Linked DNA regions of Callithrix jacchus. The protein of the gene in region 1 binds, or shares a complex with, the protein of each later gene. Links are inferred from orthologs where the notes say so. Each region holds a gene or a part of one and is shown on either strand. Other genes may lie near its edges.

Region 1 (3,636 bases):
TTAAAATGTTTCTTTACTGTGCCTCACCATTGCACAATCAAAAAAAATTTTTTTGCATACACTGTGGTGAAATAATTTTTAAAACTTGGACTTGCTACTGTGGAGACTGATGTTTAAAGTTTATAACTGTATAAACATTTTCTATGTCCCCCCCACACCATGGATTTCTTATAACATTGGATATATTTTTCCTTGCTGGACTATTCTCTTTTGGATTGACTTCCCCTGTTTGGATTATTTCACTGCATTATCATCTTTAGGATTCGTCAGGAACAGGACATTTCACCTCAGGAGTACGGGTATGTACTTAATTTTTTTTTTTTTCCCAAAATTTCAGGGCAGGTCTATAAAACTTGGGGGAAACCTTTTTTGAAAGGCTAAACAATTATTCATTCTTGAAATGTAATAGTAAACGATGTAAGTAGCTGCGATTTCTGTTTTTATTCACTGTATGGCATAGGTTTTGCTTATAATATATTTAGATTGTCAGTCTCTTGGGTGATTCATAGACATCTAGGCTGAAGTTTGGGAATTGTGGGGGTTTAAAATTATTATTTCTATTGCAAGAATAAATATTGATGAAGATCCATGAAACCAAAGGTCTGTGTGTTAAGCAATGTCAATGAGTAAGGAAAGAAGTGACAGCAGAAGCTTCTTTAATTAAAAGACACATTTCAGTTCTTGGTGGTTTCCTTTTCTTTAGAAGCAGAAATAATTCAGATGAGCTAGTTTCTAGTTTTCCCTATAATTTTTAGAAGTTGTGTGCTAACTCACACTGTATTATGGTCAGAAATCTGAACTGTGGGAGATACTGGGTTTTGGCCCCACTTAATTTTCCACTTAACCTTTATTCACTGAGTACTGAACCAAGGCTTTTCTCATCAAGAATCTCTTAAGGGTTTAAAATAACAATGTATACTTTTTGCAAAGGCAGGTTAAATCTTGATTTTTATGTAGGCTCTTGGAATGTATTATTTTCTTTATAGTTTTTAACTCTTGAACTTCATGAGTTAAGATTCCCTGACAAATATATGCTAATAAATATTTTAGTACCAATATGGATGATCACTTGTAGCCAGTAAAACACCAAAATATATGGGTGACTTAAAAAAATATTGAAAATAAGCTTATAATACTGGTTTATTAATAGCTTTAACACAAAATCTTGGAAAATATAACATGAAAATTTTTTATTTAAAATAACTCACCATCCATCTATCCTACATTTGAAAGTTAGCGGGAGATACTTATTTCTTCCTTTGGTGCTACTTTTAATTCCACTTATGTGCTGCCATATTGGTGCAAAAACATTTTGGATTAGCTAGCAAAATAAATCTATATACCATCAAACAGAAGCAAACTTGCCCTCAGGGATAAAATATACCAATAATGTTTAATATTTTTATGAAAATTTTCTGGGTTCTCCCACTGATTATTTTCTTTTTACATTCTGTATTTGATTATGGACTTTGGGAGCAAGAGAGGGGACAAGAACAGTGGAAGAGCTAAACATTTCAATAACTCAAAGGTTTTCTTGACTGAGGCAAGTCAGAGTATTCAAAAGAATAAAGATAAGGCAGGTTTTGACCTTATAAAAAGGTTTTCTTTTTCACATATCCAAGAAATTGACTAAGACCTTAATGTTCTGAAATAAATTTCTAAGAGCCTACTTTACGTAATTTCTCAATTTTCATGGAAAATGTCTTTTTCAATAATAAACTAAAATAAAATCTTTTCACTGTAGACAATACTTATAGTCTCTGGAAAGTCTAATGAGCTCTGTGGTTGTAACTAGTTCTACTGACTGTCAGCATAAGTGAACAACCAGATGTTACATTAACCAATCTTACTAGAAAATCTTAGTCTCCCAGGCTGCTTCATGCCCTGTCACAATATGAATGGGCTTTTCTGACTTATAGGTCCATTTCCCTCCGTTTATACATGTCTACTTGTCTGTCCACCTCCATCATCACACCTTTTATTTGGTTGTGTGTTCTTCCTATCAAGGGATATATGTCTCATTTTTCTTTAGTTCAAAAGTTCCTCATCTGTTTATTTCTATTCCTTCCCTTTTTATTTTTATTTTGTAGCTGGTCATAATTTAGAATTAAGTATATTTCTATAGTTTTTTTATTGATTAGTTTTATTTTATTTAAGACACAAATGAGTAGAAAGCTATCTACTCCTTTAAGTAGATTAATTTAATTGAACTTTCCTTCAATATAGCCTTCAGTTGACTTTTTCCATGTCTCAATCATTCTTAATGGATAATATATTTTTCTCTCCTTGATTAAAACCTTGGAATATTTATTCAAATGAGGGAAATCTGGCCACATCGATGGTAATAGCTACTTGAGAAAAAAATATAGGACATTTTATCAAATTCTAGTTTTTCAAGAATTTCTTCAAATAATGATAGGCTCTGTTTATTGGAGATAATCAAATCAGTAGCATTTGTAGACCTAGAGTAAATAGCTCTTCTTTCTTTTAAGATATTGATTGCCAGATTTTTCAACAATGCTGCCCATCATTGACAGTTGTTCTGCTAAAAAAAAAAAAATGCAAAAGAGGCAAACTTTTATTTACTGCCATAGCAGTGAAAACTTTAAAATTTTAAAAATGTTTTTCTAGTTGTGCTTGCCTCCAGAATGTAGCCTTTCCCATGTGCCTGTCATATTTTGTATGCATGTCTGATTGTATTGCTTTATGGTTAGCATATATAGATTTTTTTCTCCGAGCATTTCTCATATAGTCTTAATCAGCAGTTCACCACTGTGAAGCATATGCACTTAACTCTTTCCATTCTAGAAGGTCTTTTCCCAAATGCAACCATGTTTCTGTACATGGTAGGAATTAAGTCATTACTCACAGGGTACTTGCCTAGATTCATATAACATTAATTATTCTTTCCCTTTTTTTGTACTGCAGGTCTTCCGACCTCGAACTCCACCAGAGGCGATTGCACTGTGTAGCCGTCTGCTGGAGTATACACCAACTGCCCGATTGACACCACTGGAAGCTTGTGCACATTCATTTTTTGATGAATTACGGGACCCAAATGTCAAACTACCAAATGGGCGAGACACACCTGCACTCTTCAACTTCACCACTCAAGGTAACTCCAAATACTTAGCTCTTTCACCATTTCTAGGAAAGCTACACACTGGGTGTGAAATGACATTCCATTAATTAAAATATGTGGAGGACAAAAATGGACATATTAAGTACTTATGAAGGTGAAAAGATTATTCTTTCTGATTTGCTGGCCACTACTTACATGGTTTTGAACAAAAGACTAGCACATAAAGAAGCTATGCCTATTGGAAAACTTTTAATTTTTAGCAGAATATAATGTTGGCACATGAGAAGTTACAGAGAATTCAGTGAGTGAAGTTTATCACTAATTGGATTGATGTACAATTTCATCTTTAAGTTTGGATCTGAAACTTAAAATAGTAGCATTTCTTGCTTCCGTAGAGTTTGGATCAATTTTTTAAACCTGGAAATGAATTGGTGGCTGTATTTGTATAAATTCAGTTGTCTTCCAAACAGGAGGAAAACTAGAATCCTATAAACCCTTTCTAAGAACTTACACAAACGATAGAGACAAGGAAGGAAATTTCCATCCCCTCTGAG
Region 2 (4,072 bases), on another chromosome or scaffold:
ATCCAAAAGGCTCCGAGGTTTTAACGAATGGGATTGGTCCAAAACCTGACCTCACTTTCATTTAATTTCATGCCAGCACCAATACACACCCAGCTGCGGAGACCTTGTCTAGCTAGTGAGCTGCTCAGACACAAAGGCGCTCTAATTACCATCCGCAAGCCAGGCTGACAGGGCTTTCAAGTGTTTTCATGTTTATGGAGATCAGAGAAATGTGTTCTGTACATCTTTTTCACCAATGGCAAGTATAAAATAAAACCAAACAAAAAACCCAACGCATTTATTCAAAGCAGGCATTTCAGTTAAGTTAAAATCCTATAATCAGGACAGCCACAACTCCAGACACTCCGGTGCGAAGTGTAGATATGTCAGTAGCCACATCTGGATGATGAACAAGCCATTGACTATAAAACTAGAACAACAGCACAGTCCCAGCGCCTTCAATGAGCGAACGGTATGTTCCAAGCACTTCACCATGGTTCGCAACGGCAAAGCCTGCAGCTTCTCCATTTGGAGGGTCACATTTTCTACTCGGTTTCCTGCACTTACAAAGGCCAGCTGGCATGACTGGGGGAGGGGCAGAGGGAGGAAATCAACTCCGTCTATCCAGGGAATTGCAGCTGTTACTGCAAATGGCCCCGGAGAGCCCATTATAAGCTGCTGTGCTAGGCTGTGTGTCCCTGGAGTGCCCATCACATGACGAATCCCTAGCCCCCAACCCAGGCCCCCAGGATCCCTGCGCCACCGAATGAGTAGGACAGCAGAGCCGAGGGGGAGAGGAGGAACCCAGGACTCCGTCTAGCGAGTTTCCGTGAAAGCCGGGGCCTCGGCCAGGGGCGGTGGTCGCCCAGGGAAGCACAGGCGCCCAGCACGTCCGCGCTTTCCCACACCCGCGGTGGCGGCGGCGCGCGTGTCCTCAGGAGACTCCAGCACTTGCAAAATACTGCGCTCTTCTCCGAACACGGGCAGAACCCGGCTACTCTGCCCCGCAACCCAGTGCGTGCCCAGGAAACAGTGACCTTGAACCCTCGGAGAGGCAGGCCGGCTGTGAAAATACACTTTAGAGAGGGCGTGGGGTTTACCCCGCGCCTCATTCTACCCTTCCACCACCATTCAGCACCCCCCGCCCCCACCTCCTGTCCGCACCTGTGTGGTACAGCCTTCCCTCCCACTCTGAGAAAGGCAGACAATTGCAAAGAGAGGGCGGGGGTTACTCCTATTCAATCCCCAAAGGGTCCCTTCATGGCACCGGCTATTTGATATTAAGCAGCACCTCCAAAGACACAAGATGTTTTTTTTTTTAAGTGTCGAAAATATTCAAGTCCGGCAGATTGGGGTGCACCCTGAAATTATCCACTCATGTTTTCCTCCCACAAAGTGGACCAGGAGCCAGCTCTGAAAAGGTGAAAGCAAGTAACTGGCATCTCATCCTCCGTGGTTCCAGCGCACCGCGATCCCGAGAAGCGTGGGCTGTGGCCACATGGTCGCCGGCTGGAGGGCACTGAGAGGCTGCACAGAACTGCAGGCTCCGCGGCCAGGTCGGGTCACGCCAAATAAGGAGTTCTACTGACTTTTAAGCTTGGGGTGCACTCTGTAAAATCTGCCTTAAATAGGGCCAAGTCCTGCATTCCAAATATTTTGGCCTTCGACCCCAGTGTCCCGTGAAACATTCGCGATTTTTCGGTCCCTCATCATTAGCTTTTTTTCTCTCGCTTCCAAAAGCCAGAGTTCTCCATCAGCCTGAGCAGAACTGCAGCCCTCAGGGGAACCCCTTGCCCTCCAGTATGAGGCTGGCGCTGTGACCACCCCAGGCGTGTTAGCTGCCAGGGACAAGAACGCCGTCGCCAGTTCTGGGCTGCGCCCTCCCGGACGCGCCTGGGTCACTGCAGGCCGCGCGAGGGCTGCGAGGCGAAGGGGGTTCATGCACCGGGGCCGACAGCGGTCCCAGGAGCGGGCGTTGAGGAAGCTTTGCACGTAACTGCAGCCGTCGAGAATGAAGCCTCCGCACGGCCTCCTTGATGAGGTTTCCAGAGAGCACTAGCTGCTGTAGGAGCCGGTGCGGGTCGTCGTCGCCTGTGCGGGTTTCGGGTTGGGACCCGCGTCGCTGCTGCAGGCGGCGGGAGGCGGCGGCGCCCCGGAGCCATCCTCGCCGGCACGGACCCGACAGCGGCTGTGGGACGCCCTGCTTGCCAGCCCCCGGAGGCCCATCAAGGTCGGCCTGAGGGGGCAGTGGGGACAGCGCGCTGGGGCCTGCCGCGAGCTCCGCCACGCAGTAGGGCGCAGCGCGGCCCCGCACGCGGCCGCGGTCCCCCAGGGTGCTGCGCAGGGCCCCAAGGGGCGCCGGGCCCACTGTCTCCATCGACACCGGCGGCAGCAGCAGCGGCACTGCCGGGGGCCGGGCCTTGTCCGCCCGCACCGCTGCAGCCAGGGGCCCCGGGGCTCGCAGCGGCGCCCCCGGGGGCGCGCACGGCGAGGCCGGGCTGTCCTGCGCCGGGTCCAGTTGCAGCGTCTCGCCGATCTGGGCCACCAGCCGGTCCACCTCGCCCGAGCCGCCCAGCGCCACCGACTGCTCCAGCAGGAGGAAGCTGTCCTCCTCCTCTTCCTCCCCCTCCGCCTCCTCGCCGGCTTCCTCTTCCTCCTCCCTCCGGCAGGGCATGGCCCCCTGTCCGGGCACCCGGAGCTGTGCGGGCGTCGCTGGAGGCTTAGCTGCCCGTGGGCGCGGTGGGCCGCGGCAGAGCGGGCGCGGGGCTGAGGCCGAAGCCCGGGCCGGGGCGGACACGGAAGCCGGAGCCCGCCAGGCACTCGAGCCGCGCGCCTGCCGCCGCGGGAGCCGGAATCCTGCCGGCTCGAGTTGATTTGTAAACAATGGGTGACGTCGTGCCGGGCCCTACCACCGCGCCGGGGCAGGGGTGCTGTGCCGCTGTGGGGCGGAGCTCCTGCGGAACTAGGGGTCTGGGTGAAGCAGGGCTGCCGTCTTCGCTCCTTCGCTAAGGGTGCTGTCTGGAGGGGCGCCCTGGGGACCTGATCCTGGCTCCCGCAGTAGGGCGCTGTTGGCATTTCCAGAAATGGACACCAGCGTGGACCCCGTTGGTTTCTTCCACACACAAGCACATACACTAACACACACACACCCACCCACACACCCCTTCTCTCCTTGCGTCAACTTAACCGGTTTTTAGCGTTTGCGCTTTTGAGGTCCAGCAGGCGGGCATCTGGAGAGGATGGAAAGGAAGAGGAGTTAGGCTAGAGATTTGTACGGAGATTATAGAGAAACGAAGCTGACAGGAATGGAAAGGAAGAAGGGGACCTTGTCGTGCAATGGGGGTGGCAGAGTTGGAAATGGCAAAGAAAGGCCACAGATGACTGTTTCTTGATAGAGATCCTGGGCGATGGGGGCCTGGACTGGGGTTGGCGTTGCTGGAGAGGAGAAAAGGAAGTTGCCAGTCTTTTTTTTTTTTTTTTGGAGGAGCCTCGCTCTGTTAACCAGGCTGGAGTGCAGTGGCACGATCGCCAGTCACTATAACCTCTACCTCCTGTGTTCAAGCAATTCTCCTGCTTCAGCCTCCCGCGTAGCTGGGATTACAGGCGCCCACCACAAGCCGGACTAATTTTTGTATTTTTAGTAGAGACGGGGTTTCCCCATGTTGGCCAGGCTGGCTTTGAACTTCTGACCTCAGGTGATCCACCCACTTCAGCCTCCCAAAGTGCTGGGATTACGGGTGTGAGCCACCGCGCCCGGCCTAGGTTACTAGTCTTTTTTGTTTGTTTGTTGAATGAAGTTTCATTTTTTTTGCCCAGGCTGGAGTGCAATGACACGATCTTGGCTCACTGTAACCTCTGCCTCCTGGGTTCAAACTCTTCTCCAGTCTCCCAAGTAGCTGGGATTACAGGCACCTGCCACCATGCCCAGCTAATTTTTGTATTTTTAGTAGAGACAGGGTTTCACCATGTTGGCCAGCCTGTTCTCGAACTCCTGACCTCAGGTGATCCGCCGCCTTGGCCTCCCAAAATGCTGGGATTACAGGCATGAGCCACCAGGCCTGATCTATTTAAATGTTTAAAATTAAAATAATTA

What was found. Proteins that work in one complex are often made in the same cells at the same time.
Region 2: the proteins of GSK3B (region 1) and FRAT1 are in contact, whole or in part, in a crystal structure (PDB 5OY4), measured with the Homo sapiens proteins. The link is inferred for Callithrix jacchus from reciprocal best matches to the Homo sapiens genes GSK3B and FRAT1. Residues at the interface, in NP_001139628.1 of Homo sapiens: Tyr216, Ile228, Phe229, Ser261, Gly262, Val263, Asp264, Leu266, Val267, Ile270, Lys271, Thr275, Pro276, Ile281, Tyr288, Thr289, Glu290, Phe291, Lys292, Phe293, Pro294, Ile296; in NP_005470.2 of Homo sapiens: His200, Leu202, Leu203, Leu206, Val207, Ser209, Gly210, Asn211, Leu212, Ile213, Lys214, Glu215, Ala216, Val217, Arg219, Leu220, His221.

Annotation. Positions count from the first base shown.
Region 1 is NC_133516.1:82,946,487-82,950,122, forward strand, and holds part of GSK3B (glycogen synthase kinase-3 beta), read left to right. Parts: intron 1-260; coding exon 261-299; intron 300-2,928; coding exon 2,929-3,115; intron 3,116-3,636. UniProt on the Homo sapiens protein: Constitutively active protein kinase that acts as a negative regulator in the hormonal control of glucose homeostasis, Wnt signaling and regulation of transcription factors and microtubules, by phosphorylating and inactivating glycogen synthase (GYS1 or GYS2), EIF2B, CTNNB1/beta-catenin, APC, AXIN1, DPYSL2/CRMP2, JUN, NFATC1/NFATC, MAPT/TAU and MACF1.
Region 2 is NC_133513.1:90,146,506-90,150,577, reverse strand, and holds FRAT1 (proto-oncogene FRAT1), read right to left. Parts: upstream 2,830-4,072; 5' UTR 2,654-2,829; coding exon 1,814-2,653; 3' UTR 262-1,813; downstream 1-261. UniProt on the Homo sapiens protein: Positively regulates the Wnt signaling pathway by stabilizing beta-catenin through the association with GSK-3. May play a role in tumor progression and collaborate with PIM1 and MYC in lymphomagenesis.